Linked DNA regions of Styela clava. The protein of the gene in region 2 binds, or shares a complex with, the protein of the main gene of each other region. Links are inferred from orthologs where the notes say so. Each region holds a gene or a part of one and is shown on either strand. Other genes may lie near its edges. The genes, in order: DNA replication licensing factor mcm4-B-like and DNA replication complex GINS protein PSF3-like.

Region 1 (16,758 bases), on a different chromosome or scaffold from region 2:
AAAATTTAAATGGATTTTCAAGTGCAATTTTATTCAGAACCCAAACAATCGTAGTAGGGAATTCTATCAAAAAACAAGATTCATTTCGAAATTGATTTTATTTTACAATGCTAAAATAGAGATGCTCACAGCAATCAGTTTAATCTGAAACAGTTGTTTTGCAGCCTTTTATTCTCTTGTGGCCTATTTTCAGCGTCAAAAGAGAAATCTCAGACCCACAAAACCTTTGGTAAAAATCTTGAGTAACATAAAAAATTTTGTTTTATCAATACAGTAAAAGTGTCAATGGGCGTACTAATTCTTGCATCTTTCTAGAGACCATGTTGAATGTCATGAAAATAAGTCAATTTGTCTGAACTTAATAGGTGTAACATACCTTCAATATACTCATATCCAAATATTCAACTTCTGCATCTTCTGGACTTTGATGATATAAACCAACTAGATGATTGGCGAGTCGACGATCAAATGCTTCATCTTGTGGATCGAGGATCAGAAATATCAGATCAAATCTAAAACAATGTTGTATCCTAAGTTTGATAACTGAACAATTCTCACATATTTTCAAACCCCCTGAAGTTGATTATCAAAATTCTGAATTTCTCATAGTTGGAAGTCAAAATTTACAGACTCTCAGTGGTGATTAAAGAAGTCCGAATTCTTTACGGAACTCAAGAAGATTCAAGTTTACTAAGCTTTCTTAACAGTATCAGGGGAAGCTTGCATACAACAATTCCCGGAATTGGATTGTTTCGGGTTTTGAGCAGGGAGTCTGATTCAAATTTTTCATTCTCACAGATGAAAATCCGAAGTCGTAGTCTGAGCCAAATTTTTGTAATCCAGAGTTATCGCCATCTGAATATGCAAAGCAGCTGGTGAATTCTTCCTATCGACCAATTTCAAATAATCTGCGTGTTTGTACTTGGTAGGATTGTTATAAAGTAGAATCCTGACACGCGATCATGGTAATAAGTTTTGATCACACAATATCAAGTAAAAAAAGTAGAATTTTAACCCTAGTTGCAAATCAAAGTGCAGTATCATTGTAGTGCAGTTTTGCATTAGATTCATGGATCTCTCATCCCCAATTTTGTTATTTCGGTAAACTGTCAAGGGAAATAAATTGAGTTAATAGCTAAACAATGCAAACCTTGACAACAATGTGTGAGGCAGCATGATGTTTTCGATGATTGTTTTACGATGATTCCACTGAGATTCGCATGGATTAGCAGCAGCAAGAACACATGTTCGAGCATTCAGTTGGCAAATAATTCCAGCTTTAGCGATGGAAAGCGTCTGTTGCTCCATTACTTCATGTAGGATTGATCTATATTGGGGTTTTAGAAAAGGAATGCCGTAAAACTAATACTTTTTGCAGAATATCAGTTTGTAGTTAAAGTACGTAATAATCTTAAACCTCAAAATATATATTGAATGTTGTGTTTTTAAAAAACAGAAAGATTTTGGATTTCTGACAACAGAATTAAAAACCACCTAAATAATATGGACATATATTTTATCAAAATAAATTATAAAATTGGAGAACCAACCCTAAAAAAAAAATGAGTCAGAGATAACTAAGTGGGTTAACTAGAAATAACAAATGTCATTATACATATTCAAAAATCCAATTGAGGAAACTACCTTGTTCCATCACTCATTTTATCAAATTCGTCAATGCAACAAACTCCATTATCACTCAGTACCAATGCACCTGGCTGTAAAACCAACTGTCTGGTATCTTGATCCTGTTAAAGAAAATACAAAATTCAACCAGTGCTTTTCAGCCATGGATCCGAGGAGGGTTTTATGGGTTATTGTGGATATGTACATAAATACTTCATTGAGCAAAATGGACACACATTGGATTTCTGAAATGAATATAAAACCTGCCTTCGTAATATAAGCAGTTAATCCAACAGCACTTGATCCTTTTCCAGACGTATACTGACTCCGTGGCACCATGTTATGAACATATTGCAGAAGCTGAGACTTGCTAGTACCTGTATGTTAGAAAGTAAAGCAATGTTACATGTACGTTGTTGAACTGAATCCATGATACTTCGTAAAATCTAACTTTACTAGTTTAACATTTTTATCTAAATTTTAATTTATAATATTATTTTAAGTTTCAAGTTGATTTACATATTTATAAGTTACGTTTTATGAACAATATTTACAGTGTTACAAAAGTAGAAAACAATAAGCCTCGTGCCAAAACTAAATTCAATCGCAATTTCAACAAATTCATTGAGCTATTTTTTAGCTAACATATCAAAATTTGTTTGTAGTTTGGTTGTGGCAGCATCGGGCGGGCCAGATTGGAGTACCCAATGGGTGGTAGTTTGCCCATGCCAGTTGTAGAGTCTTACCTGGATCACCACACAATAGAACATGCAGACAATCTCTGAAATGTCCTCTCCCAGCAGCAGTTAGATCTTTCTGTGTTCCACCAAACAATTGCAACAAAATTCCCTTTTTCACATCGTCGTTTTCATAAATGCTCGGTGCAATCGAGCATGCAAGTCTGTCATAAATATCAGAGCGCTTTGACAGTTCTTTAATCTGATCAATCTGTTCTTGTGAAAATTTGATGACTTCATCTCCTTCGTCGTTAGTGACTTTAGTTTTACTGTCCTGCAAATATGATAAAATTTTAAATAAAGCTAGATATTGATACGAGAGATTTCCCTTGATCTCTGAATCTACATTTTTTTAAACAATATACAGGGTGAGCCCCCAAAAAAACAGAACCCACAAATTCCTTTTCGTCGTAGTAATACAGAAAATGTATTTGAAACTTCTGTTTGTGTATGACTATATACCCAAGGCAAAAGTTTTAGTAATTTAGGACAATTTACACAAAATTATGTTTTCTCTAGAATATGTTCCAAATGACTTGAGTTTGCATAAAACAACTAGACTAAATATGAAATAGGTGTGGGGAAAACTTCAAAAATTATAATTTGAATAATAAAATAGAAGACTAGCCTTTTTCTGAAAATGCAAAACATCAATGTGCGTTTTATACACAGCTTTCACATTCCGCATTCTAGGATTGTCTCTAAAAGGTTGAGCTCTGTAAATCCCAGTCACAATCACTCTGTCTCCTGGTTGTACAACATCAACCACATCACTATAGGCATGTAAAATAACAGAATGCGGAGTTTGTCCAGCTGGCATGTCATCCGGAGATTCTTGAAGTTTTACCATTTGTTTGTCGGTGAAAAGCGAACGGTTATGGATGAGACTCATGCTGAAAAGAATACATTTGTTAAATTTTAAACAGTAATATAAGGCCATTTTGAAGCTTAAGAGTTTACATAGAATTTCAATATCAACCTAAAAATAAGTTCAGATGCAAAATTCTTTCAAGCATTCAAAATATTGATAATTTTTGAGGCAAACTAGTGAACTACCAATCTAAACAATAGACAAAATTGATTTAAAATGCCTCATTTTTAATGTAGTTTTGAGCATGACTAAATTATATTAGTACTTTGCATTTCTGCATTAAAATATAAATAGCATCAGATCAGGGATGGGCAAAATACGGACCGCGCTAACGACCCCAATTGTGACATTGTGCTTCTTGTTATTATATAAACGTTAGCCTAGCTGTTGTAAATAAACTGTTATTTATTCATACTTTTCATAGTTTTGAGCTTCCGGCCCGGTAACCAAGTCTATTATCTTTAAATGATCTAAGTCTACAATCTGTAACTGGCCCACTCAAGAAAAGTAATTGCCCACCTCTGTATTAGATGAATAGCTAGCTATGAATTTAAAAGAAATTTATTACATTTTTTCACCTTAAAGTGGCTGCAAATCACAAAAAGGTATTGGAAAATACTGAAAACTTCACCTAGAACAAACCGGTCATGTATGCCAGGAAGAGTTATCATCATCAATATGCAATATATTAATAAATTTCTCTATTTCCACTGAAACCATGCTAATCTTAAAGCATAACCCTGATATAGATAAAGTAGCTTTAAATTGAAATATACTGTATTCACCTGTGTACAGTTGAACAATTGGTGCATGTGGCAGGTTCAGCAATTCTGCCTCTCTCAATTTCAACAACAACCTCATGTAGGCAGATGTTGCATCTAAAAAATCCTTCTCTCATTTCCGGTATAAGAGATGAAGTTCGAATAACCATTCCAGCGATTGTGATCAGTTGATCAATATCTAGAAAAAAGACGAAAAATTTAAAATTAAAACGAAAAATTTTGGTTGTGCCTCTTATTAATAAGAATGATTTCGACTCAAGTCTCAATTATGTAAAAAATGGACTCCGACCCCTTGTCCGAAACCATAGAAAATCAAATTTTTTAATACAAAATTTAGGTATATGCAAACGTTCTTTAATAAACTGTTTAGAACACTTGAAAAATCTAATGTTTTTTAGTTAGTAGAAAATTTTATCTGAAATTTTAAAACCGGTGCAGACTTTAATGATGCCAAATTCAGAATCCACAGCCCCAATTAAAAATTCTTTGTTTTAACTAGCTTCCTAATTTTAGAATTAAGGAATGTAACTTGTTAAATTTTCAATAGAGATTTTCAAACTCACTGTACTCAAAAAATCCAAAATTGGTATATAATGGTATCATTTTAGGCATGTCTCATTTTGCAACTGTAAATGACCTTTTCTTATCACATTCAAATAAATTGAAGATTTGATTATTAGAAGAAAAAAAATTTTCATTGTTACCTTCAGGGTTTAGTGATCGCATATTCTTGGTTCGTTCAGCATTAAAAGGCCGAACTTGAATTTGATGTTCCAGTGCAATATCTGGATATTTTGTGAAGAACATCTCATTGATAGCCATGTCGAAAGTTGGAATAACTTCCTAAATATTTGAATAAAACTTTGTCAAACATTAAACAAGAAACGACACAAGGGTTGACATTTCTAGAAGTATGCTTATACCTGTGGATAACAAACGAGTTGTCTGTACAGGTCACGATCAAACGACTTTAGATGAATGCAGTCTATATCCAAGTATGGCTCTTCTGTAACACTGATCTAAAATTTAACAGGATTCATGAATCAGATATTCTAATCAATGTGGTCACTGGTCATGCAAATATTATTACTTTTTATTATTTAATCATTTGGTATATTTGATTAAAAAAAGTCTTTTTGCAGACTAACACAAATGTATTACTGTAATATTACGACCAAAAGATATTTACGTTAGTGTGCAGCAAGATTCCTGATTTAAATAGAATAGTCAACTTGATTTTTGCTACAGCACCCTTGCATTGTACACATACAGATCTACTTGCCCAAAGGCATAGAGCAAGAAAAGGTGGTTAGTCTCTTGTAAAACCAAGCATGAGTTGATTAACTCATTTATTTGATTTATTATTTAGTAATAAAGTAAACCTCTTCCAGTTTCTGTTGATAAAGTGGTTGGTTGACATCCATGTCATCCACTTCCATTCCGTCTGCATTTGGATCAATGAATCTGAAATAAATAAGATAATTAGAAGATGTTTTCATGTTTGTTAGTCTAATGCGTTTTCAATTCTCTTAATATTATCAAGAGATTTATAATAATTTATTATTCGGTTAATAAGCTTTACTATGAAACAAGCCTTATTAAATGTAAATGAAAGAAACAAATTTTTAATACAGTTCATTAATCTGGTACGTGGGAGTAATTCCAATCGCTTTTTGTTGCAAAGCCTATACCCGGGTGCAATTTATCATCTATGTCTATGACGTTACAGCTAGCTTGTGCGAAGCGAACAACGCATGTCATAAGCTTAATAACCAACATTTTTGTGCCTGCAACTACTACAAAGCATATGTTGAAAAAAGGTGAGGCCCATGGTTTCATCTAGTTATTTGTATCTGGCCCTTTCGTATAAAAGATTGCACACCCCCGGCATAGAGAATTGGGGTAAAGATTCAAAGAATTCCAAGGTTATACACACATTTCAAAAACATTTACTAAAGTGAAATCCTCATTTTAGACTTTAGACACAATGTGATAAAATCATCATTTGATAACGATAACTGCTCCATAAAAATTATGATTTAGTACCTGGTAACAAATTGACTGAATTTTTCCTTGCAATGACTGACAACAACATCCGTTCCCCATATTACAAGTTGGTTACTGACTGCAGGTTGATCAGCAGCATCAGATATGTCTGCATTTTGCGGCGCTGCATCAGACGACTGAAAAATTAAATAAAGATAGTTGGAAATGGCCAATAGACCAAAAAACCTGTTTTGGAGGGAAAGTTCCGAAGAACACTCCATTCTAGTATCTGTCATAAAAGCAAAACAACACAACATTTTGTTGATAGGCGAGAGTTTGCAGTTCTGATGTCAATTGTAAGATTATCACCTGTTGGGCATCTGGGTTCACATTAACAGTTCGAACTTTACTGCTGCTTCCTAGATCAGGTCTCTGTCGTACTGGTGTAGCAGCTCCACGAGGAGTTCGACCAGGAGTACGAGCACCAGGTGTGCCATACAACAATGGAGAAGACAAATTCAGCTCACTGGCACCTGTGCAACAGTCGGCAGATTAGTATTTTGTAGTTAGTAATTATAAAAGCAGTGAAGGATTATCCTATTTTTATCCCAGAGTAACATATGGGAAACTAGTCCATGCTGAGTACGAGAAGAGCTAATCAGTCAATCATTCCAAATGCATGAACTCTGATGGTGGAGAAAGTCAAAAATGGCTAGCTGTGATGGGAGCCAGTCTATTACTACAGGAAGTTCAGTGAAACTCTCGCACATAATCTGAAACAAATAACTGGTTAACTATTCCCATACCTGACATGGACTGGTTATTGGACGAGAAACTGTGATTCACCAGATGGATTGAAACATCCTACTAGCGGCTTTCTTTCTCTTCTTCAGGATAAATATGAAAATCCTATGCTTATCCGGAACAGACTCAAACAGACTCAAACATGAATAGGAATTAGGATTGACATATTTATCCAGTGAGAGAGGAAAGCCGATAATATGGCTTAATGATATAGCCAACCACGTTATCTCGTCCAGTTAACAGTCCATGTCGGGTATGGGATTAAATAGCCAGGTATTTGTTTTAGGAAGCATGAACTAGATGCCGGAGGAAGCCATAAGCGACCAGCGGTTATGTGAAGAGGGGGCGATGAGGGGCCAGCATTCCCCTTGCGTATTACCATCCCCACATCAAATTCGAACCTGCGAACCCAAGCAGAGTAATTAGAGGTGTGTAGTGGCGAGTGTATTCCTAACGCTTAGAACAATGCACTAGTTAGTCACGCACTGCCAATTTTTTGAAATTTATACATTACCCAGAATAGATCCAGGACTTGGCAATATTGCATCTCTAGAAACATCCAATAACCTGGCAGGTGATGTTGGTAAGAGGTGAGGATCACTACTTCCTGATGGAACCTGACAATGAAGAAAACAAACATAGGCTATTATTCTCAAAGACTGGGCAAGAATTGATAATGCATTATCAATTGAAATCAATGGCAGTGAAAAATTGCTATATTAATTCTATTTGCAGATTTGAGCTCTTTTCAAGATAAACCCAATAGGGCCTACTGGTATCACTTTGCTGAAAAATACAAAAATAACAGTAAATCCAGCTATAATTCTGTAAATGGAACACAGATTGACTAACAATATAAGACTGTAAGACTAAAAGAAACACACCTGTGGTCGACCAGGAGACTTGGGATTTCTTCTTCTTCTTGAAGCTAAAGTAAAGAAAATAGGGCCACATATTACCATACGCTCTGTATTCAGATATTACATTACAGCATTAATGTATTACAGTATTATTGCCCTAGGCCAGTAGGCTAGTTTGGCAAATGTCAAGAAATTGTGAGACTGTCCTATAGGGCAGTTGAAAAAGTGAAACAGACACTCAATTTTTTTATGTTCATAGACCAGAAGATCTGAACACAGGAACATGAAACAATCTCCAGATCTAGCATTGGTCTGTTGGTGTATATTTTTAAATTTGCTTCACATACTGACATACGGTAAATAAATCACATCCTCTATTTTTAGATTTAAGGTACGACGCTTTAAAATATTTTGGCAATCAGTTTCGCAAATGGTTGAATAAATAGCATTTACAGATTTAAGCCTGGCAATACACAGTGAAATCTTAGCAAAACGTATTATAAACTTAATACTCACGTGTCGATCTATCAGACATGGTTTATTCCCCGATAAACGTCAAGAACATCAAAAATTAGGCAAAAGATGACTGAGTTGGTGTCAGGCAACCTGGTAAACAAACTGGCTTATTGTCGAAGCCTATGCAAATGTTTAGCTTTCCCGCCACACACACATGTTCACCGGTCAATAAGAGGAGTGCCAGATCGAAGTTGTTTAGCTCCTGGTGGCGCAGCGCTGCATGTGGTGCGTCTGCTCAATGACATCGATCTGCTCAAAACTTTTCCAAGCAGGGATAAATATGGGATGGATAGATAGTTAGAACGTTTGAAAACTTAATATCACACACAAATTAAAAATAGAGAATTCTGAAACGCGAGCCAAACTTTTAAAAACGTTCGAAACATGAAGTTGATCATGTGCCCGCCCACCAGCACACACATAAAGAAAAATTACAAAAAACACAAACCTAGTTAAACGCGGCTTTGGCCAGATCTAAACTACCAATGAACTTTTGGACTGTCATACTTAAATATGGATTAAAAGTGTAGAGAGCGAGAGGAAAAATCGCCTGGTTTCCATTTTAGATGTGATATAATAATATGGATAAGCAGTAATTTGTTGTATTGCCCGATTGTAAATTTTCCCCAATGGCTCTGTTCTTACATTTAATTGGGTCAGAGTGACCAAAATAAATTGTTTGATTGATTCTATTTATTGATATCATTTTAAATTGTGTAGAAGTATTTGCACGATTTTAAATCGCGAGTTCAATCAGTCCATCATTTCATTTCGTTATTCCGACATAAATCGTTGCGATCATTAAAAGTTATGGCCGCTTTTTTTGATATCTCTGTATTCTGTTTACTTTTTGTGTTGTTTTGATTCATGTTAGAGAACTGAAATACAATGACTGAACGAATTTAGTGTTGTGTAACTACTTAAGTACCTCTGATTCAGCGATGTTTTGATTACTGCAACTAAACAATTTCTAGGACAGTAGTTCTCAGACTTCTATGGTTCGGGTGTCGCTGCTCGATAACCATTCCTGGTTCCCCGCGACTTCCCTTCCCCAGTAAAAATGTGTTTTCAGGAAATGGGAATGGGAAAAAATAAACTTGACTATGACTGCGACACCATTACAAAGATCCACCGAACCTGTGGCAGCACGCTCTTCTGTAAAATACCTACTTTGGCCTTTGGAGCCATTTCAACAGTTATTTTAAAGGGATTTTAGGACCTTTTATCCGAAAAGTGATGATGCGTTCGTCAAAACTACGAGTCACGACTATTAAGTCCAAGGCGTGTGCGCTTTTATTCACAACTGGAATATTTCTGGTAGAACGCACCTCATTCACTCCTTAAATAATATACACTATGAAACTAAAACTTTATTACAAACAGTGGAAAATACAAGGGATATATATACATCTACATCCTATAACAACTTAATCTTTTGAATTTATCAATCACGTATAAAGCTGTTGGACGTTTCGAACAGACTGTCGCCAATTTTCTGCCCATCTCTCTTCACTGAGTGTTCTTAATTCTTCCTGTTCTTTAATTTCACCCATGACTGAATTATAGGCTTCAGTGAAGGCTGTAAGGCATTTATCTCTCGTGGTTACGGATGATGTGTGTGAAAGCGTCGTCTTGTTGCAATTTATGTCTTCTGTAAATTTGAGAAAATGATTGAAGTTTAGATTCATGCCATTCAGGGTAAGTTAATACTAGAGAAGAAACACACTTGCACTTGCACCTCTAATCTGTTCCTTGGGTCAGCAGGTTCAAATCGTGTGATGGATATGTGTGAGTAAGAGGATTGACTGAATCTGTTCAGAGGTAGGGTGGTGCACATAACTGGGACATGAACCAGTAGGGTATATAGCCTCAATTGATACGTTTTTACAATAGATTCTACAGACACATAAAGATTTGATCGGGACATAAACTTGCCATAGATATAATTGATTTTCTCCCCCTTGAAATAAATAGGAAAATTCTATCTCGCCCAAAAGGAAGTCCAGTTTGAGAGTAACCATAATGTGATCAGTTATTTTTGTGTAGGCATACCTAGCGAAGGAAGCCACATTGTGATGATAAGAGATCCACCAATTCATTGAACAAGATACTCCCAAACAGGGTTCACAAATGCCTCCATGAAGGGCAATAAACCTAACCCGTAACGCAATGAGTCAGTGAGTTTTAAGAAATGTTCAAATTTAGAAGACAAAATTTCAATACCTGCTACTTCAGTTAATACTTCTCCCTTTTCAAGAAGATGAGAAACTTCAAGCCCTGGCCAGACATTAGGTCCACGTGGCAAAGATGGTCTATATGAAGTGTCATGCAGATCAATACCAGCAGCTTTCTTCCTTAGTAATATACTAGTCGGTTCTTTTTTCAACTCAATTTCTAAAAAATATGAATATAAATAATTACAAAATAGGATTATCAAAAAAGACGAAACAGGTTTATCATATAGCGCAGGGGTCACCAACACGTTGCCCGCGGGCACCAAGTCGCCCGTGAAGACCATATAAGTCGCCCGCAGGTCTGTTCCAAACTGAGCTTAATAACGGCGCTTATGAGTAAGCTACATCGATTAAATTTTGTCCTGCTATTTTTGTATAAATCACACTTATATGGGAATCGGGAATGGCACTATATTAATTATTGTAGCCATCAACCTGATTTTTATTTGACCCTCAGTAATGTGACGGGTCAATTAACACTCTTCCAATTATGACATCACACTGATATCACTTACTACGAACCCGCACTTCCGCGCTTTTTCTTTTCCGTTGGTTTGTGGAGCAGCAATAATATAATTATTGATTCCAAAGAAAAATGGCAGAAAACGATGAAAAACCCACCATTTTCACGATGATTGGGGGTGGATATATTTTTACCAACATGAAAACAGCCTGCGCGTGTCTCATCTGTGGGGCGATTGTAGCGACGGCAAGCGAAAAGATATTTCACGGCTTGTCACGCAATCTACCGCGCTAACTATCCAGCGCAGTACGGACAGAAAAAGCTCGCGATTCAAATCATACAGCAATTCTATTTTACGAGACCATTGTTTCGTTCAACCTATCTTTGTGAATCAACATTTTTGACATAAACTCAGGATAGGATGGGATTTACATATTTATCCCGGGCCATCCCAACGGCAGCAAGGGGTCCAGCAATCCTCTTGCACATAACTATCCTCGCGAACCTAACGCTTAGCACACTAACGATGGCCACACAGCTGCGACTTTTTAGAAGTGTACATTGGATTGGTAGCCCGCGGCTTAATCTGTACCCAGAAAGTAGCCCTCGGCCTCGAAAAGGTTGGTGACCCCTGATATAGCGGGTCACAGCCTCTTATCCGGTTAGCAGTCCATTTCAGGAATGGGAATAGTTAATCAGTCACTTTTTTTAGATGTATGAACTTGATGGCAAAGGAAGCATTAACCAACCAGCGGATACATGAACTACCCTATGGCTGTGATGATCCCAGTAATCCCTTTTAAGCTTACAAAGCCGAACTAATCTCTAAAATTATCATCAACTTATACAGTCACATGGGGCTATTAAGTAGTTACTACACAAGTTAGATCACAAGTTATAAGTTAGATGGCTAATCCTGCCCTCTTCCCTCAATAGTAAATTCGAAATTCAACGCTAAAACCGAAAATTGTCCAATATCAAGATATTTTGAAAGACTAAATTCGCTAATTAAACATTGATGCCATTCCTGTTAACTGGATGAAAAATTGTATAAGTATCAACTTTACTAAAAAAACTGATACTTTTTTCAATAAATATTCGTATATAATGTAGAAACTAAATTTTCAATCCAACACACAAAGTGTCAAATTTAATCTGAACCAGCCACAAATCAAATTATTTACCAGTCATCAAAACATATGACAATAATTCATACTTCCTGAATTGACATCATCGATTGTGAGAGAATAATCAAACTGATCCAATAAACTTGCACAAGCCTGTCCAATATTGAGCAAAAAATGCTTTGTGACTTCATGAGCCTTTTCATTCAAATCCTTGCTGTGTTGTTGAATACCAGACAAATTTTCAGCCTAAAAACAAGAGAGCGATGCTTAATATATGGGCACGAAGACCAAAACGAAGTAGTACAGCTACCGGTACTAGTGTAGCAATCGCAAAATTTTTTATAACATTTTCGCACACAAAAAAAGAAATTCTTTGAAGCCCACAGATTCAGATGCACATACCTCTGGGGCACCGATTATAGAACATATTCCAGAGAGAACATAACGTTTGTGCAAAACGTTCTATATTACTGCAACTTTTGGGAAGAATCATACACAAACAGAGGTTCAAGTGTTAAATAAATTTTCTTTATTTTTGTAGGAGTAATTAAGAAATTTACAAGTTTTGTTTTTTTGGTTACCCTGTATATTCTAAATTATCATTTGGAGTATCATTGGAAAATAGTCTCAACAGCGGATAGTCTCAAAAGACTGAGACTGGCATCACTATATTATCACGATATTTCAGCTTGCTTTTTTATTTCTGTGGACCAAGATCTGGGATGTTTGATCTATGTTAAGGTACCTATGCCTTTGTTCGCATAGTTTAACAGTAATTTTCTAGCATTAGGAAACTTTGGATGAACTATAATATACAAATTAACGAGTATAAAAATGTCAGCACCTTCTGAATGAACTCAAAGGGTTGGGTGAAATAGAAATAAAAGGATTACAATATCTGAAACAAGGGCTTTCAACCAGTGGTGGGATTCAAATTTTTTGTTAGCCGGTTCCATCAGAAAAGTCATATGTTCTAGTCGGTTCTGTTGCCTAAAAGTCATTGACAGTAACCAGTAATGGTAACCGGTTCACTGGTCTCATAAAATTCCGTGAGACGGTTCTATAGAACCGGTGCGAACCGCCTGAATCCCACAACTGCTTTCGACCATTATTACACGGCGAATTGGTTAGTTTCAATATTGGGGATGTACTACTTAAGCAATAATCCAACCTGTCTTTCCTCTTCTTTTGTTATCAGTTGTTGAAGTCTTACTTCCTGATCAGGATGGCCTAATGTTGGTCTGAGAGAAACTTTGTGATTTTCCTATCAAAATGTAAATATTGAAACTAAATTATATTGTTGGAAATAATTTCTCATGTAGTTATTCAAAATAAATGTCAATAGAAATAATGATTGATGGATCTTGTTAAAAGTTGGAAGCGCTTTCCATCACACCTAGAATCCTGTCGAGTACATGTATGCGAGTGGGCTGCTAGACTTATGTGACCGCTGGTCAGTTACAGCTTCATTCTTCATCAAATCCACCATTGGGATCAACTTTTATTTGTAAGATATGTGTTACAATCATTAGCAAAGCAGGTTATCAATATGGTAGTTATTTTAAACTGAATGACAGTAATATTCTGATGAAGCAATCCTTATCACTCATTTGTAGTGTCATATAGGATCACAAATTGACAATATTTCACAAACAAAGATGAAACAAACCTTCACTTTTTTCCAGTTAGCTTCTTTTATTAAAAATTCAGCTTGAATGATCTGTTGTTCTCTTCTGAGATTTTGAAGACTTTTTCTCAATATCTCGTCCAAAACTAAATTAGGAACTTCTGATAAATCTTCCTCAAGCGTTTTCAACTGATGGCGGAATTCTAAAACAAAACAGATAAGTCAGGCATCACTATGACATTCAGTTAGTTACATACAAATTTAGTGTTTGCAAGCCGAGTCATTCACATTAAATTTAAAGAAATAAATTAACAAATTAACCAAAATCCTTCCACAAAATTAAACAAGAGTGCAAGAAAATGACCAACTGAAGTATTGATAAAATAAACCAAGTAAATATTCTCATCTGTGTAGAACATCTCACCAGCATAAAAGAAATAGGCCAGCTTTGAACCAATGATATCTATTATTATTGGACACAAAGTGTTGTTGGTGTTATTATTAGAATTCTTTTTCTTGTTGTTTTTATGAAAAAATTGCCTTGCTCTTTAATTACTGGACCAATTGCTTTGAAATTTTCTATGGCTCAAGATTGTTGTTGTCGTTAGAAGACTAGTAATTTTATTTATTTCGTGTTTTGTGTGTGATGACGTACGTCATCAAAATAAGAAATTGCTTTGTGGCGGTTCCGCGTTCATTCATCCATCATATATTTGAGCATCGCTCTCTTGTTATTTTCGAATGTTGTGAAGAGAAATCAAAACTACCTTCTTACCTTGTAAAGAAGTATTGTGGTATTCTTTGGTTTGTTCTTCGTAGTTTAATAATTTTGCAACAACAACATCAGAAAACTGATCAAAATTATCCTAAATAGTAAAATTAGAACATTTTGTCATACTGGTAATTATTCGTGAAAAAGAACATAGACTATTTTTACAAGAACATAGGATAGAATTTACATATTTATCCTGGGAAAGAGGAAAGCCGATAAGATGGCCTAATCATATGGCGAACCACGGCCTTCCAGCTGGTTACCAATCCATGTTGGGTATGGAATTAGTTAGCTAGTTATTTGTTATTCGAAGCATGGACTTGATGGTGGAGGAAGCCGTAACCGACCAACGGTTACTTTAACCACCCTATGGCAGCGAAGAGTCCAGCAATCTCTCATACATACCTATCCCTGTGAACCAACACAGGATGATCAGAGGTGTGTCGATCTTCAAAATTCCAGAATTGAGTACTTGAATAAGACAAACAAGCTAAATTGATGTTATCACAACTCCATCAAGCAAATTGACACTTATTACCACAAAATATGTTCTCAAAATATCACCAAAAATATCATGCACACAACAATGTGAAGTCCATAAATTCAAGCTTTTGAACTGTTGGTCTAGCTTATTGAAAAATATTTATGTTTGCAAAAGTTTATATACTAAATATGAGAATAGTATTATACCTGCATATGATCTGGTCTAGTTACAGCTCTCGCTCCTTTCTGTTTGTAATAAATTTCTCCAGTTGAAAGTAATCCGTCTAATGTTTCATACAGTATTTGAGTGATCTGGAATTGAACAATGACACTATCCTTTAACGATGTATACGATGAATCTTTTTATACGAAAATAACAAAAAGAGTTATTGACTATGTGCATTCCTAAGGTATTTGTTGTAATAAATTATTGATCCTGATCTTTATAATCTTTATCTTTACAGTTATGCCTTGTTTCGTCTAAAAATTTTGACTTTGATGTAAAGAAAAATTACACAATACCCAAGTATTCAGGATGCAAGTTTATGTGCAAGTTATGACACATAAAATGGTGGTTCACTTAATCTAGTCCAGTGAGTCCCAACTTGTTTGACCATAAACTATTTCCAAAGCAAAATCTTGGCTAACTCGAGACACAAGAAATAAATAAACATCGATTTTATCGAGATTTGTTTATCAGAGCAACTAGAAAAATTGTATTGTCACTATCAAACAAAGGTTTTGATCGACTAAGATGATCGAACCAAGATATATCATATGATTTAGCTGTTTTATAATTTCACTTCTTTTTGCTATAAAAACATGAAAAATGCAATCCCTGGCTATCCTGTGAAATATGTATCCAGATAAAAAACCTATTACACCCTCAGTATGATCATTAGCCAACATGAGTTTGTAATACCTTTGCCTCAAAGTGAGTTCCAGAAGTTGATGAGGTACCGAACACCATATGTCGAAGTTCAAATTTAGTTTCACGTCGTTTATATATACCAGATCCGACTCGACTGGAAAAGAAAAGCAGAATAAAATACATTTTATTAAGAAGAATTGCTACAAGTATGTTAAAATCAGTATTATTGGTGAGGGAGGATGGGATTTCCAGATTTATCTCAGGAGAAGAAAGTAGATAATATGACTTAATCATCGACATCAGTCACACGTACCAGTCCATGTCAGCTATGGGATTAGTTAGCCAGTATTTTCTTTTCAGATGCATGGGCTCGATGGTGCAAGAAGTCATAACTGACCAGCGGCTATGTTGATCCTGCAAACCCATGCAGAGTAATCATAGGGGCAATGGCAAGTGTATTCCACCAATCCAATGAACTTGAGCGAAAAATGAATGAGCACAGTAGAACCATACTATTAAGGTGTCCACAGAAAATCCAAATCGCACATTCAATTCACGGCTTACATACATACAAAAATTGTAATATTAACTGAAGAAAATGTTTCTGATATTCTACCTTCCGCCATCTTTCTTTTTCCCTTTATCAGAATCAGTTGTACTTCCAGCAATGCTTGTTAATGTTCCTTGTCTTTTAAAACTACCTTTCTGCATACGAGAATTTCCAATCTAAAATGTTTTGAATTGGAAGTCTTGTTTAATCAAATACATAAAACGAGATTTTCATATTCATCCATCCAGTGATATCAGTACAAATCAGGGCCTGTTTATTGTATATACCGGTAAAAGAATGTATGTCTGTGAATTGTCAATAAAAAAATACCTGAGAGGCAGCAGTAGAGGGAATAGGTCTTGTTCCTCCTGTCATAACTGATCTTAAATCTTCTGACTCAGGGTCCATCCCTTTCTGTGCCCTATTGAAAATGAAATATGGAAATTTTG
Region 2 (17,374 bases):
CGCAACTACGCATGTTTTATATATCTATTGATCTGCCCTTGTATTCGCCATGTAGCCACATACATACATACATACTTGCGCGATTGACGGCACTCCCGAAGTATGTGCATCAAGATGGCGCACAACCTGAACCCTAATCTGGTACACATACTATGTTCAGGTTGTGCGCCATCTTTGTGCACATACTGAGCTCCCGATTGACTTAGAATGTGAATTTTGATATCGAATAATAATTCCAAATGGTGCCTTGTTTCACATTTACAGAATACAACAATTATCCTTATTTTATATTTCCTAAGCTGCTTTTTACTTCCAAAATAATTTCCAGTAGTTGAAACCAGATGTCTGTGTGATGCATTAAAAGACATTTGAAGTACATATACAGCTACGAGAATTTGCCAGCTTCCGGGTTTTTATTAACTTCTGAGCCGATACTTTGAGCAACATTTTTAAATAAATTTCTATCGTATTTGATAGCGATGAATATAACTATATATATATAAGAGATAAGATACGCAAATTTTCGAGCATAATGTAAGTTCTATTAGGAGTGGATGAAGAGATATACTATGGCGAGAATTGCTCTTCTATTTTTGGTACAGACCCATATATACAGATAAAAGTTTCAACCGACTTTTCGTCCACACTGAAAAAAAAATATATATACATATGTTCCGTGTGTGCACTAGCATTTAGAACTTTACGTAACTATGTTCAGATTCGACGATTCAATCAAAGGTGGTGAATCACAGCTGGTAGATTTATTTCACGTGGCGGATATATTAAAAAAGGAATCTCCCGAAAACTTCAAAGTGCTATGTACAGTTCCTGGTACGTTTCAAACAAAGGATTTGAACCGCCCCAACCCAGCTTGGTACGAGCATACAAGGACGCATATTGAAGTTGATTACTTTGGAAACGTAAGTCAAGTCTAAGCTTTGTTGAACTGAGGCTAGCACTTGCAGTCGTGGGCAATTTTGTCAAATTCATCCAATTCAGAATATTGCTGTAGAACGGCTTTGAACGGTGTATTCCAAAACAGGGGCCGAATATTTAGTATTAATCAAATCTGAATGCTTAATAACATTAGAAATAGGCTGACTTCCACATGCCGCAATCGCGTACAATTTGAATTGTCTCGGATAAACTCGGTCATTTTCATTCATCCAGGAGATCGCGCCTCTTCGTCCTGTCAGAACATGGTAATAGGTAACCTTTTTTCATATATATATGCATGCTTCTGTGATAGCGCTAATTTGGGTCGTTTTTTCGTAGTTTTGGTGCAAATTATTATTTTGATACATATACACAAAAGCTCGGCGGTATGGCGCACCGTGCCAACGTTAGAAATACGCACCTCCGATTACCCTGTGCGGGTTCAATTATCCCGTGGAGGACAATTTTGCGCGAGGTGGAAAGTTGGAACCGCGGAGTGGTTCAGGTGAACGTAGTAGGTCGGTTTGGGGTTCCTCCACCATCAAGTCCATGCATCCAAAACAAATAACTGACCAACTAATTCTATGCCCGATATGGACTGCTACCGATAACCCCACGAGAGGCCGTGGTACACCATATGAACAAGCTATCTTAACGACCTCCCTTGTGATAAATATGAAATACAATCTACAATATTGAAACCGAACTTGCTTGTTTCAGACTGTATGAACAAGCTATCTTAACGACCTCCCCTGTGATAAATATGAAATACAATCTACAATATTGAAACCGAACTTGCTTGTTTCAGACTGTATGAACAAGCTATCTTAACGACCTCCCCTGTGATAAATATGAAATACAATATACAATATTGAAACCGAACTTGCTTGTTTCAGACTGTGGCAATCTACTGGAACCCGGGAGTGGAAGGAGCGTTAAGAGTTCGATTCGAAGATGAAGAGAGATACTTCAAAGCGTACGTGCATTTCTTGAGAATATTACGGAGAAAGGAATTAGAGGTATAAATGAAATCTATCCATGCTATAATCTTACTAAATCTTATTTTTGACATAATATTCATGCCATCTTTGGCGGGCTTATAAATAGATCAAGATCCCATAATTAGTGATAACGTGTTACAGTAAGGGCGCATTGGTGGGTGTGAGTAAAGTAAGTAAAGGTTAATTAATACGCATTGGAACACCCAGTTTTGTCACCTAAACTTCTTCGAACATAAAGCACGATAGCGAGGCGACTTTGGCCAGTATATTCACCCCGACAAGACATTATATCAGCAACATAAGACTCTAATCAGGGATGGCCATTTCCGAATACTAAACTATTCCGAATACATTCTAAAATAATGTTTTCGAATCTGGACTTCCGAATACATTCTAAAATCGAAAATAACACATTTTTGTTTTAGTTTATTAAAACCCAGTAAATTAGGTAATGAGCTTTAATAGAAATATCAGAATAAAACCACAAACCAACAGTATATGTACACAAAGTAATTGATAGTTTATAGCTATCAATAAAAAATAATAGCAACTTGTGGCACAGTCAGTTTATTAAAATTATTCACTTAGTACAAATGACCATATGAAAAGATAGACAAGGAGTTGTCTGACGCTTCCTATCATTGGTACCATGATAATACGATAATAGTCAAGTCTATTGACAAAAATACTACTTGTATTCAGATAATTGTGTATATTTTCTGAGAGTAATAAAATTTATTGGCAATACAGGCAACTGAAACAAGCAACAACAATCGAAAATTCATTATGCCCTTAAAAATTCTAATATTTAAGCCTAGAGTATTCTACTACCTACCAGTATATTTGTATATTAATTTATGTGAACCATATTGTTATTATGTGTAACATATTGTCGCCTGCAACACCCATCGCGATTCCTCGCTCGTTAAAAAGCCGTCTTTTTCAGCGTATAATGATCATCCTGTCACGTAAAATATTCAATCCATGACAACTACGAGATTCTATAATATTTTTAGATATTAATTTAATGTGTCCAACGTAACTCGCGGTTGCTTCTTCTTACGTCAAAAAAAACATTACTATTCGGTGAACGGCGATCTGTGACCTAAAAGTACGAGACAAACTGCCTGATGTATTTAATTTTAATACGTATTTTTGCAATCTTTCCAACTCGTTATCGCCGTTAGAAAAATCTCAAATAATGATATAAAATTCTCTTAAATTGTAGAGTATAAATCATTTCATATAATGAATATACATATAAAGTTTAGCAGTAAATTAAAAATAGATATTCATCGCCGCGATTATGCCACCTGTTAAAAGAGTCGACTTTTACAACAAATAATATGACAACGAATGTATATTTTTCTGTTGTGCAAAGTGATGAATTCGTGACCGACACGGGCATATTGGACACGTAGTGGACATAACGATCGTTTCAATATTATGTTGTTGTTGTTCTTTGACACGTTTTTAAAAAGTCGCTTTTCTCTTCGAATACTGGACCAATTGCTTTGAAATTTTCAGTGGTTAAAGATAAAAATTTTCTCCAGAAGGCTATTACTTTTTTTTTCGCTATGACGTCATCAAAATTATGTGACTCTACGTGTCCATATATTTGAGCATAGCTCTCTTGTTTAAAATGTCTTGCTTTATTAATTTAATTGTCTTCAATTTAACCTGCGGTTGCGTCGACAAAATAAAATCCTTACCACTCCTATATACCATTGCAATCCGCGGTCATAAAAATAAAAACGTGTGGTAAATTGCCGATTAAATAATGTTTTGATCCGTATTTTGCGAATTCGGCAAATATTTAGATGTACTTGTTAACAGTGACTCCGCTCAATCGAAATGCTGCGAACCTGATTATTTCTAATAAAACCGTTCGAAAAATCCATAAATCTGCTGTTACTCAGAGTAAAATTCATTTCATCACAATAAAATTGATTGAATATACTTTGGATTAATTATATTATATACATCCTCACAGCCCGAAAAAAGTCACGCTCCAAACCTTGTATCATGTTAACACGAAAATATTCGACGGCAATTTGAAGTAATGGATAATCAGGCAAATCCCGCCCTCAATTCGTGACGATATATTTCTAAACGCTGACCAAACATAATGTGTGCCAGAGGCACACGTAATTTTACGATTTTCACTGCCTAGAAAAGCGTTTTTTAAATTTTCGCGGGCCTCAATAAAACTTATATTGTTTGCGGTTTTATTTTCAGTATTTTAAATTGCTGCTTTTCAATCAAAAAGTTGCGTCTTTAGAAACTCGCCGCCGATGAACGTATTTACCAGTTCACAATTCCGTGCGCGTACAAAAATGAAATAATTGTCATCGTTATCGTGGAACAAATTTGTGGAAAATTTTCGTTTTAGAGAAAATAACACAAACGTAAAGGCGTTTACGGCCTAAATAACACGGTACGCTGATGAGTGATGAAAACAATCACGCGCAAGTTTCTATCGAGAATGTTTTCATTCAACGGAAACGTCGTGAAAGCGGCGTCGAAAATGTGTGACGTCACACAAATATCCGATATTCTTATGAACGCTAATTCCGATATTCGAATTGGCCATCCCTGACTCTAATATTACTTTGGAATATGAGAATATGATGGCTTTTCAATAAAAGACTATAAACGTTTGATTCGATATATAGTTTTGCTTCCGAATGAAGCCTGGAGACTTGATAATCTTCAACAACAGAAGAATGGCCCATGCTCGTAAGGAATATAATACGAAAGAAGGAAAACGTCATTTACAGGTGACTGAGTTTGGGGGCATATATAGTGTCCAATCACAAACTTGTGAAGCAACTAGGATAATTTTGTTGGATTGTTCACCAGCATCTAGTGATATAACACACTAACGCAGAACTCCCCTATCACTATCCATTGCATGTTATCTCAATGTTTTATTTTAAAAGAGGGCAAAAACAGTATATATTTTCAATGGTTTGTCACTAGATTTTAAACTTGAATTTCATCAAACATTAGCCCTCAAAATAGTATTCTTAAATTTGACATCTACCTTACCAGGGTTGTTATATTAATCTTGATGACATGAAGAGCACTTATATGGTGCTGGCACACAAGCTTGGAAAAAAGGTTGTTCCACCCAAAGTCGGAAATCGGTGCTGGTACTAATGAAACTGTGTCCATCATCCTTTAACTTTTGAAATTCATTGTTGTATGTACTTATGTTTTTATGTAATTATTTTTGATCGTCATGATTTTAAGTTGCAATAATGCCAATATGATATATGCCAAATGTTATTAAATGAGTAAATAAAATTTACGAAAGTATATGACAATTTCTACATTTTGAATGTAACAGATGGATTTCAGAGAGTACATGGGCAATAAGAATTTATAATTTGCCTCAACACTGTGATACCATTCTTTATTAGTCTGGTGCTTGAATGATTTTAGCTCAACATCTTAGTATCTTTAACCATACCCCAATTCACTCTTCAGACATTCATGTCATGTCGTGCACAGATCAGCAAGTCAGTACTCATTGGCTGGTATAGTAATCAGCTTACAGAAAACAGTCCTTACTCAGCATCGCGCTTTCGTTTTCTATGCCTGATTACCATTTCAGAAGCAGTTAATTTATGGCTAGTTCCCACCTCCCATTTCATATGACTATGAAGACTTTTTTGTCCAACTTCAAATAAATTTCGTTCAACTTCATCCAGTTTTTCTTTATGTCTATTACTGTCAAATTTGAATGCATTGGTTGACCAATCCATTATCCTGCGAAATCTATCAGCAAATGCCTGCATTGAAGAATGAAACCTAATTCAAGATGTATTTGAAACTATCCCCTCAAGATTTTTACAAGGAAGTGATATAGGTGACATGGAAGCACATCATATTGGGCCCAACTATTGAAATCTCATAGATCCAAACCCTACCCCAGTGCGTGTGAAACAAATTAGGCTGAGCATTAACAAATTGAGAATATTTTGATCCCTTTCACAGTTGCTTTACTAAAATCATCTTTCGAGAGGAATATGTGAAACACCTCCTAATGTAACAATAATCCTGTGCCTAAGAAAAGAACATGAATAAGTTACCTGAACTAGACTTCTTGCAACAAACACAGATTCATCTGCATTAAAAACCAGCATTTGTTGTCCCATTGCATAATAATATGGACCGAGTTTATGTAGATCTACAACTGATGCATCAGCCTATGTTGTTGAATGTAAAGAGAAATAACCAAACAGGGAATGAACAGAGCCACATGCAAAATATGAGGAGAGAATGCAGCAAAACCAAACATAGCACACACAAGGTTCATAAATTAAATAAAATATTATTTGACAAATTTTTGTGTTTATTAAATGAGGGACCACGACTATGGCTGGAAAAGGCTAATAACAGAGAAGTGAACTATAAAAGAAGTGAAAATTGAGCTTCAATAGTTAGCCCGCTAATCAGCTTGTTACCATACCCATATTCCTATATAAATATTCAATATGAATTGTTGTTTGTACAATATACACATAATACCTTCTGTCTACAAAAATTTCATTAGAATATTAGTTTTCAAAATACCTTCAGAATTTCTCTATAAACTTCTCTGTAAGGTTTTGTTATTTCTACAGATACAAGTTTTCTTTTAGGATTTGCTCCAAGTGATGATGCAAGCCATAATGGCAAATCCATCTTTGTACCTGAAGATTAGCTTTGCATTATCAGAATGTGTGAACCAGGAATTATACTACACGGTTTATATAATAATACATGTAGCTAGTGGATAGCCAGACAAACTCAATGGTATTTTGTTAAATTTAAATAATGCATTTCACAACATTCGAGCTAGCTGGCATACTCGTAAGAGAATGAACCTTCATAAGTGATATGCACCAGTGGAAAAAATAGGTTCAACTTAATCTATTAAAATTGGATTAAATGCGAGAGAAATAGGTCCATCCCGAATGACTAACGTAGATAGAGATTTATGTAACAGCCTGAACAGTGGCTTCTTAAAAAAAAGTGTGATGAAACTTCATAAAAACAGTCCTGTAATTTAAAATTGGAATTATGTAAAATTTGCATACTGCAACAATACATAATATTCAACTGCTGCAATACCTTCGGTTATGTCCTTTTTACCACTTCCTGGATCCAGAAAACCCAAACCAAACACTGGCAAAAGAAAGCTACATGGAACTTTTTCACTTGACATTAAAATATCATCAATACTAAAATAGTTTTGCTTCAAGCTTCCGCTCGGAGGAGCACAATCCATAAGTATAATTAGTAATTATAGGTATATTATCTATAGACAAAAGTTTAATAACATATTATTCGCTCATTGGAAACTTTATCTACTTGGTCCTTTAACCATGCAGTGAATATGATGGCCAGTATAATTCAAATGAATAACCAACTCCTGAACTCTGTTAGAAATTACAGAACATCTGGTTCAGGCTTGTACAGCAGTTGTAAACAAGGATTCATCAATGGCATCAGCCTAACGAGGCACGATTATGTTTCAATATTTATGTACAGATAATTCTGTAATTTAAGTACGTTTAAACTATGCATGTATGTACGGTACTTCCATCGGGTATAATATAGATTTAGTTGGGACTCCTGATTGACTCCGGGCAACCGAAAATATTCCCACATTATTAGTAGTATTTCTGTATTTAATAATTGATGTAATCTGGACTACAATTTGGCAATATTTTGGCATGTTTTTGGCTAATGAAAAGGTTTAGCCTACCTCTTCATGCACTCAACTTTGGTTGGGCAACTTGGCACTTGACTCCAATTATAATCAGCTTAGCGAAATCATTTTTTTGTCCTTATATTAAATACTGTTCACTCTTGTTTGGATATTTTTATAAAATTATAAAAATGGTGTGGCAAACAATCCTTATTATTTTTTACATTTCATCTTTTATTCTAATTTGTTTTTTATGTGTTTATTTATTTTTTTTTGGTTACCATATAATTTATCTAAAGCTTCTTTCTTTTTACTTATCGATCTTAAGATCGGAAAGTATGTTGATGGGTATTTGTCTGATAGACACAAGCGATATCTCACGAAAAAGAGAATGAATCCGCTCCGAATTTTGCATATGCATTCATCATATCTCGGATCAGAAGCCTATAGATTTTGAATGAGTTATGTCGTATAATTAGCGAGTTATTAATTAATTAGTGATGGGACACAAGGTGGCACTATGGAGAAAGAGCGCTGTTTTGGGGGATCGCCTAACTTACTATTGATAAATCATGGGTCTCTGACCGATATTCTCGTTTCTAATTTTATTAATGCCCTATGGTTGTGTGCGTGTGTGAATGATTTTATTTTTTTTTTCTTAGGTGAGTGAACACGTACCACTTCTTTTTGGCAATCCATCTTACAGTCTTATATTCTGTACGTTTTAAAACTTGTCCACGGATTTGTTTACTCTCCTGATTTCTGGATTTCATAATCAGTTTTTAATAATTTGTTTTTATCAAACATCTTATCGCCTTTTTGCTGATTATGGAGTCGTTATATAGACTACTCCCGATCCGATCCTGTTTGTTGAAAACCAGGCCCGGAATCCTGTTTTTCGGAGTCCTGGACCCGAATTCTGTTTGTGCTCAACACCCTCAATGCTCAACCATGGTTAACACTAGTGTGGGTGCAGATTTCAGGAATCGAAGTTGCACCGACCCTTGACCCCTGAAAAAACTTTTAAAATTTTAAACGCTTAGCGCGTATAATAAAAATCACAACAAAATGGTAGCCAAAGTTTGGATAAAATGTGGAGTTGATGGAATTGCAGAGAATTTTTGAGGTTCATGCGTAAAAGTAAAGTGTAACTTAGAAAAAGACAAATCTTGGGTGTATAATGAATCTTGCTATCCACTTGGCTGTTAAACTTGCGAAAAAATGTTGATGGAAGCTGGGAAAAATTTCATGAATGAAAAGCTTTCGGGTCAACTAAGAAGGGGATTCATAAATATGCAATCGCTTCACACGATCATAGTTCAGGTTCAGTGTGGTGCAACATGCTAAGCGTTAGGAATGTTATTCTGCGTGGGTAGGCAGTTCCGAAATCCGTGGGAGATAACCATGTGCGAGAGGATTGCTGGACTCTTCGCCGCCGTAGGGTGGTTCACGTAACTGCGGGTCGGTTACAGCTTCTTCCATCATCAAGTCCAAGCATCTGAAATAACTGGCTAATTACCCGACATACTGTCGCTGCTCTCATCACTGGGCTTATCATTTCCATCATCTAGCAATTGGGGGCCTGCGCAAAGTGGAAAAGAATGTAAGTAGCCGTTCGGGAACTCAGTCCCACAATACTTTCAGGTAATATGCATCTACATCTAACACTCCTTAATAGGATCACTTATTTCTGCCATGTCTTCAGTTTCAACTTATCTGCTAAAAATGATTTCTTATTTGTGCATTATGAAACTGACGCTACCGTCAAATAGGTTCAGTAGGAGAATTTTCACCTTAAATTTATAATACGCCCTCAGGCATAATAGATGTTCATTTGGTTCCCAGGATAGCTTAGTTCGTACCCTTCTCCATTGTCAAGACCGTTTTTAATGCCCAAATCTTTCAGTTACTTTATTTAACAACACTTTTGATGTTTATTACTTATATTCACTATTCATCTTCAAAAAGATACCTATCAATGCACTGTTTATGAATATACACCAAAATCTGCATGCGTATTAACATATTATGTAAATCACAAGTTCTTGTATAAGATTTTATATATATATATTCTTGTATATAGACACACCCTTTTGAATACAACCGTGCCAAATTGAATTGCATGAGCAGCAAATGCCTTTGTGTGAAGTCTGTTTTTGCCTGCTCCAGTTTGTGCAGTAGTAACGATTGTAGAAATACGGGTGCCACGCATGAGGAGAGATGATAATATTAATATTGAGTTATGGTTTTAACTTTCATGAAGTTTGATATCCTCCTAACCAATTAGAATACTGATATACTTTCGTGAATATGAGGAATATTGAACTGGCTGTTGTTTTAGTATTTTTAATTACACATGCCTTTGCTTTGTACTCATTTTGTGTTCTTTTTATCTTGGAATTATGTTTAATTTTGCCACGTAATTTCAACATTGCTATATAATTATTTTTGTTAGTTTTACGAAATAATACGCCATAATATTCTATTCTATGTATATCGGCTGTAGGGATAGGCATTGCTAATTGGAGCTAAGATCTGAAGCCCGACCCAAAATTCGGGCCGGAAATGTCAATCATTACGTTCGAATCGGATCTGGCTTCTCAATCGCTGACTTTTTTTTTAAATGAGGCGTTTTGACCACGAAAGATCATGGTCTGCAAAAAACAGAAGTTACCTCATCAACATGACACATACTGTACAAAACTCTTGCAATGACTATTCAATGAACGCCTAAATTAAATATGAAATTTCAGGCTTGGGTTGCAAATCCAGTTAATTAGACGGGCTCGGGTCGGGTTTAATACCCACGGGCCTGGGTCGGGGCGGAATTTTTGGGCCCGATCTTACTTCTATAGCTAATTACTTAGTCACCGCACAAAGATGGAAAGAAAAGAAATTATGACGTCAGATTCATTTACAGAACTAATTGTGACACCAGGTGATATAAATGCTAACCCCTCCCTCAAAAAAAACATTTGTTTTTTTGTTTTTTTTCAACTTCATTTTGCGAGTTATTCTTGCTTTCCAGGTATTTCTGCATCTTGTTTTTCTGTTTATTTTTTGTGTTGTTCTCTTTTTTGTCAGAATACCGAAATAAAATGATGATGAGCCACCAGACCATAAAATTGTCAGGGTATTCCCCACTTCAGCTACATTGATGGCAATAACAGTTTGGGGAATATTTGAGGGGGCGTCGGTCGGTAGGTATAGGCGTATAGCCATGTGGGGTGAAGTGTTGGGCATTGAGAACTAATGGAATATATGATAAAGAACATTAGGTACAATAAATCAATTAGAATTAACACACATAAGGTTTATAATAATGAATAGTGTTACTTGATGACTGAATGTAACCTACAGTCCTACACTTCAACTGTAACTGGCTGACCGATGTGGTAACGTATGTTGTGCTGATGAAGATAGGATATGATGTACATACCGGTAGTTATCCTGGTTACCCATATAATTGAAAGGAAAGCGTTTTCAAGTCCATTGGCATCTAAGCAGATTGTTGCCATGCCAAAAACTAAATGACTGGAATTTCTAATGTAATTAGAGGTTGAAAATTAATAAAGACAAATTTCTTAGCATAAATATAAATGCTGAAAGGAGCAATCATAACATCGATTTGGCAAAATATAACTGGTTTCAAAACACTGATGATGAAAATACAATGACAAGACGCATCATTTTTAACAGCCACGCTATTTAGACACATTAAGGACGAAATGCTTAGGTTCCTACTGCTCACAGGAACAGTTTAACCAGAGCTATGCAATTATAACATTTAGGACTGTAACACAATTTGAAATGGTTGTTACATTTTCTGCTAAATTTGTTAATTCAATTTTTATCCCTGCTAACATTAATAATCGATTTTGTAGCTTGAAACTGAAATACCACACAATAGTTTGCAGAAATCTCTAACAGTCAAACTTCCTTTTCTTTTGGTTCCATTACAGAATTTTATGCAATAATGAAGTTGAGCACAAAAGGAAAATCATTGCAAGAGTTTGTTGAAACTGATATTAAAGCAATTGTTGTGGACATTGAAGGAACCACTACACCAATAACATTTGTCACTGAAGTCCTGTTCCCATACATCAAAGAAAACATAAAGACATACTTGACCAAAAACTGGAATGAAAAAGAACTCTTAGATGATTATGAAGCTCTAAGAGCTTTGGCAGAGTCTGATAGACAATCGGAAATTGAAGATGTACCTTTAATACCATCACATGATGAAAAAGGTGCTCAAGAATCTGTGGTGAAAAACATTTTGTGGCAAATGTCTAAAGACAGAAAGTCGACAGCCTTGAAACAGTTGCAAGGCCACATGTGGCAGTCTGCTTACGCAGATGGACTTATCAAGGGTGATGTTTATGAGGATGTGCCGAGTACTTTGAAATCCCTAAAGACTGACGGAAAATCGCTTTTTGTTTATTCTTCTGGAAGTATAAAGGCACAAAAACTACTTTTTGGACATAGCAATAGGGGTGACCTTTGCCCACTATTTAGTGGATATTTTGACACAAATGTTGGCGCGAAGAAAGAAGCGTCGAGTTACATTAAGATATCAGATTCAATAGGCGAGAACCCAGAAAATATTATATTCTTGACAGATGTCCTTGCTGAAGCAGAGGCAGCAACAACAGCTGAAATGAATGCTTGTATTGTGCTACGTCCAGGAAACTACCCCATCTTAAAAGATGATCTGGAAAGATTTACAACAATAAAATCGTTCTCTGAACTTGTATTCACAGAGGAAGATATTCCAGAAAAGCGTCAGAAAGTTGACGAGTCCCTCAAGAAATAAAACTACGGTACTTAGTAATCAGTGATTGGTATTCCTAAACCTTGGGAAGCATGTGTCTTTGCATATTCTTGGTAATGTTTTGCTGATCCCAGTATTGGACAGCAAAATACTACTGATTGGCGCATATTCCCTTTTAAGCTAATAATTAGCATGCAGGCATATTTTACATAAATCCCAACTTAAATAACATTTTATTTAGGAAATAATTGGTTTGTGCATTATGTGGTGAAATTCATAAAGTTAAAAAAATATTGAAAAGATCTGTTTATCATTAAATCAACCATCCATTGAAGGAGTCCAAGAAATTATCAAGTTGCTAGTTTGGGCTTAGCAGTTATAATACAAAACATATATCTCTCTCTGGAAATCTCTGATAAAGGAAAGATTTAGCTAGCTTGTGAACCTTTTGTTGCAAAATTCTGCCCAGTGTCGAGTATTGAAATTCTAAGCATAGAGTAATTCCCTTGAAAAAGAAATTTGGAATGTCTTCGGATCCAGGACCCTATGTATGATGTAATAATAATCCAGTAAAATGAACTGATTCCATTTGAAGAATGATGATCTTGCAGTGGTAGTGATTAGACAAGACCCAGCAGGATGGAAATATTTCATTTGCCAGATGGAGCCTTACTTCTTCATCTCAAGGCTGCGAGAATTCAGTACGCACCTTACCAACATTAGGAACATGTCTTTCATCCCATATTGAGATACCATCACACGTGCAAAATCGTTTGGAATTCTGGAACAGCCCTGATGACCTTGCTATTATTGCACATGCTACGCTGTAAATATAATTAGGTCAAGCGGTAAGTACTGAGTTGAAGCCAGATAAAAAAAATACATTAATTCGTACCCTTTACCAGAATTTCCATCAATCGATACAAAATCATCCTGATTTTCATGGATAACAATTGATCTTCCAATAATATCATGTACCTAAAATGAAGGATATGTTCTCTTACAAATGTTTGCTGTGTGAATTGAAATAAAGTAGGAAGATACCTTGAGAAATTTATCCGTAAACCTGAACTTCGCTCGTCCACCATCGTTAGCTTTTATATTTCCCAGGTCACCGACATGCTGAAAGGCCAAACAACATTAAATGACACATTAGAAACTATGGAAAGTGATAAAAACTTACCCTCTCTTTAGCGAGACGATCTCCGTGACGCTTGTTATCAGGATTATAATGTTCACCACACCTGTTGAAAACACAGTAACATGTGGAATTATACTTAGTTTCATTCTTACTCAATTAGGTATTATGTTATTCGCTAACTAGTGATAAAACAACTTTAAAGCTCATTTTTAAGCAGTTGTTAACACAATAGGGTTTGACATAGCCATTACTTGTGCCATTACAAAGCCTTACAAATTTTCGATTTGTTCATAACAATGTGCGCAGCCTTACAAATTTTCGATTTGTTCATAACAATGTGCGCAGTGGAAAAAGGGTTGGTCAGGGCCATAACCTGATATTTATACCCTGTGACGTTGACAACATGGATATAAAATTTACTTATCAAATTCAAATAGTATGCATCATTCCTAATGATATAACATATTACCCCTCGCATCCGTTAGACAAGTCTCCATAAGTGTGAACATTAAGTCCATGGTAACCTGGAGAGAGACCATCAACAATTCCATCAATTAAACAAAGGTTATTTGTCAGTTGTGCGAGCCTTACAATTCCTTTGACAGAATTTCCACGAATTTCTGCCACCGCAGCTCCCAAGGGTTCTAAATCTAAGTAGGTTAAATCATTCAATTATAACAATAGATAAAAAGTTGAAGCATGTGTTACATGAGTAAATCAATGATCCTGAATCTATCGACTGCTTTTTCCCAATAGTTGTAAACAGCATCCAATGATCTTGTGTAATAGAAAATATACATGTATAACCTTTTCCCATAGAAGATCCTATTCCTACCAATTCAGCTTGCATTCCTGTGCTCTCAATCAATTTTTGTACATCTTCGAAAGGCAGTGCTGTGTCAACAACTACCTAGTGAATAAATATAGTCACAAAAATGTGTCTTTTTATCAGCACTACTGTTTGTGAAAGGAGATTGTTGTTTGAATAAAATAGTTTAAAATTCATTTTGTAATTATTGTAGGCTACTATCAATTTTTAAACATGGACAATGCTCATGAAATAGGGAATGTTGAAACATAAACTTGAATTATTACAACTTGAAAACTGAATCCAAGATAACTTTCAGTCCAAATTCAATAGTGACTGTAACACTGTCTTAGTTTTAATAGAATATTTGAAATGCGGAAGCCCATAGAAATTTCGTGAAGAATATGACTAGGGAAATTACAGTAATGAAGCTGAAGACTGCAACATGCCCCATATCTGGTTATTTACACAGTAAGTCTTTATAAGGTTGTGTTGATTCAAACTTATAGTTATTTATATTCTCCTTGCTATAATTAGCCAACCTGCTGGATGTTGAGGTTTATCTTGGATCCGATTATTTTGGAGTTTCCAGAAAGCACTTTCTCTACCTTTTCCACGCAAGTGTTACAAGTCATTGAGACAACAAACTCGAGCTGAAATAAGAGCAGAATATGATTTTTAACCTAAAGGCAGAAGAGAGAGAAATGATGATGAGGAAGCGATACAGTAACCACTCTATGACAACAAGGATTTCAGGAATCTTCTGCAATTAATTTTTCCTTACATAATTCTAACCTGCGCAGAGTTATTAGTCTTTTAATGCACAAATAGCCCATCTGAATGAAATAAAATTTTGTTCTGTATTCATCTCCCTGAAATGAGGAATTTCAATAACATAATAGGTAATACCGTAATGAAATTTACCTTTGCGACAGAATCATGCTCCATTGTACCCCAGTGTTATTGATGATATTATTGTACCGCGATGAAGTGTTCTCGCCTCCTTTCTCACTAGAATGTGAACCAGAAATCGGTTCTGGTATTGCGCAACCAAAGGTCGTTGAGGCGTGTCGATACCTCATTTATTTATTTAACCATATTTACGATTTAACCGTAAATAATTACAACTGATGATTTAACATAAGTGCCTAAATATACGACCGAAAAGTAGTTAGATAAAATAAAACTTCGGGGCTTTTGAAATGAATGTATATCCGAGCATCGATTTTCTTGTTTATTTACACAACAATAACAAATCATCAATAAGTTCACAATGACGTGGGAATTTATCCCACTGTTCAGACACTTCTTCCGCTCAGATACCGGTCTTGTTTATTGTTTTGAACTAAAATGATAGTTTTAAACATGTGAACCAGTTTGAGAGCGCAAACTCTCTAAAACGCTCTCAAAATCATATTTAAAAATTTTGCGATGATAAAAGTATTTTCAAGGGCCGGGGAAACGTCCATTTGCCCGCATGTATATGGTTGTTTCCCCGACGCTTGATCCCAGAATAATCTTTCCTATACTCAACGATTAACATAACTTTACTATAGCAAAATTTTGGATGCCTATTTTGCAAACGTTTTGACACTTTTTGTTCTCATCGTTTTGACACGAAGAGTTGACACTTACAAACTGATTTACATACTCATTATTTTCACTAAAATATACAACAACGTGTCGCTTATACGTACTAGCTAGTTTAGGTAATATTTATTCTGAGGGAGGCGATACGACTGCTTATCTTAATCACATGTTTTTCACTATTTTGTGTATTTTTCTGTTGGTAGGTGGGCACGTAGTCTACTTGTACGTTTTTAACTTTATTCTATCTCTGCATTATTTTTAAATATGTGCTACAACAATATTCATTACATTAATTATCACTACAACATATATTCCCATTACCATCGTACATTTGTCTATTATGTTTTTTGTGTTGTTTATGTCAGTACCGAAATAAAATGATTGATTAAAAATTTCAATTGTTATGCATCGTTGACTTTTTTCTGGTTGGTCACCGTTACAGAAACAAGAAAGCTATGCTCAAATATATGGACACATCAGTTTTATTTCGGTCACTCTGAAAGAAAACAACAAACGGACAAACAAAATGCAGAGGATCTGGAGAACGGGCATAACTTAATAAAAAAGGTAAAACCGTACAAGTACGTGCCCGTCCACCAAAAACAGTCAAAAGATTTTAATAAAACAAAAACACGATGTAAAATCGGGCAATACCTTCTAATTCAATTTTAAAATGTGAGACGTGTACATGTATAACAACAATCTGCGCTCTGTTCCATCATCCACAACTAGATTCATAAAAGGATCGAAAGCTCGCAAAACACCTCTAACAGATCGTCCACAATTTAACCTCAAATCCAATCTTTTATCAATAAACTTCTTTAATTCCGGTGGTTGGGCTTTGATCATGTTGATATTACGCGATACAAATCCAACTGTAGATAACGAAACACACAGTGCGTAGCATTCTCTAGTCCAGGGTGGTTTAAACCCAGGCCCGCGGGCCACATATTAGCCGCGGCTTCATTATCTGTGGCCCGCGTCGCATTCGAAGAGTAATGAAAAAATCGCACTCCGTGTTGTTTCGTAATAAAATTAATCAGAAAATTTTTTTGATATGTTGTTACATAGTATATATTTACGGTTACATCACTAATGTCACTGAATTGACTAGTGTTATGGCCAGCTGAGGCAACTAGCGAAGTTGAATAATGTGCTTGGCAGTCTAAATTATTGTCTAGCTTTCCATCTTTTTGGTCGGGAATATATGCTAACAATATATGCATCATAGAAAACTAAAAATCGAACGCAGATTCTATTAGCCTGGGATGGCTATATGTCTAATAACTAAGTGTTTGCACAATAAAAGGGTTTGTTTTGCATTGCACTGTTTACCTATTTTTTATGCACTATTGTGGCCCGCAAACAATGCAAAAATAATTTTGTGGCCCGCGGAGCCGGCAACCTTGGACCACCCTGCTCT

What was found.
Region 1: DNA replication complex GINS protein PSF3-like (region 2) and DNA replication licensing factor mcm4-B-like share a complex: the UniProt entries of both Homo sapiens proteins name them as parts of the CMG helicase complex. The link is inferred for Styela clava from reciprocal best matches to the Homo sapiens genes GINS3 and MCM4.

What each region holds. Positions count from the first base shown.
Region 1 is NC_135254.1:19,989,444-20,006,201, forward strand, and holds the start of DNA replication licensing factor mcm4-B-like, read right to left. Parts: upstream 8,434-16,758; 5' UTR 8,202-8,433; coding exon 8,183-8,201; intron 7,735-8,182; coding exon 7,691-7,734; intron 7,424-7,690; coding exon 7,321-7,423; intron 6,536-7,320; coding exon 6,372-6,535; intron 6,200-6,371; coding exon 6,063-6,199; intron 5,481-6,062; coding exon 5,399-5,480; intron 5,036-5,398; coding exon 4,940-5,035; intron 4,860-4,939; coding exon 4,721-4,859; intron 4,195-4,720; coding exon 4,020-4,194; intron 3,257-4,019; coding exon 2,992-3,256; intron 2,638-2,991; coding exon 2,373-2,637; intron 2,004-2,372; coding exon 1,894-2,003; intron 1,749-1,893; coding exon 1,645-1,748; intron 1,328-1,644; coding exon 1,151-1,327; intron 513-1,150; coding exon 377-512; intron 1-376. Other genes in the region: coiled-coil domain-containing protein 180-like, read right to left, coding at 9,631-9,833, 10,406-10,576, 12,096-12,252, 13,178-13,270, 13,676-13,836, 14,409-14,499, 15,096-15,200, 15,811-15,913 and 2 more. UniProt on the Homo sapiens protein: Acts as a component of the MCM2-7 complex (MCM complex) which is the replicative helicase essential for 'once per cell cycle' DNA replication initiation and elongation in eukaryotic cells.
Region 2 is NC_135260.1:20,658,080-20,675,453, forward strand, and holds DNA replication complex GINS protein PSF3-like, read right to left. Parts: upstream 7,263-17,374; 5' UTR 7,216-7,262; coding exon 7,059-7,215; intron 6,638-7,058; coding exon 6,519-6,637; intron 6,152-6,518; coding exon 6,035-6,151; intron 5,735-6,034; coding exon 5,510-5,734; 3' UTR 5,100-5,509; coding exon of another isoform or gene 4,992-5,099; 3' UTR 4,718-4,991; coding exon of another isoform or gene 4,613-4,717; 3' UTR 2,347-4,612; downstream 1-2,346. Other genes in the region: putative gamma-butyrobetaine dioxygenase, read left to right, coding at 719-920, 1,833-1,955, 4,613-4,717, 4,992-5,099; enolase-phosphatase E1-like, read left to right, coding at 10,519-10,576, 11,601-12,454; copper chaperone for superoxide dismutase-like, read right to left, coding at 13,095-13,236, 13,308-13,390, 13,457-13,534, 13,596-13,656, 14,023-14,203, 14,361-14,463, 14,904-15,014, 15,286-15,309. UniProt on the Homo sapiens protein: Required for correct functioning of the GINS complex, a complex that plays an essential role in the initiation of DNA replication, and progression of DNA replication forks.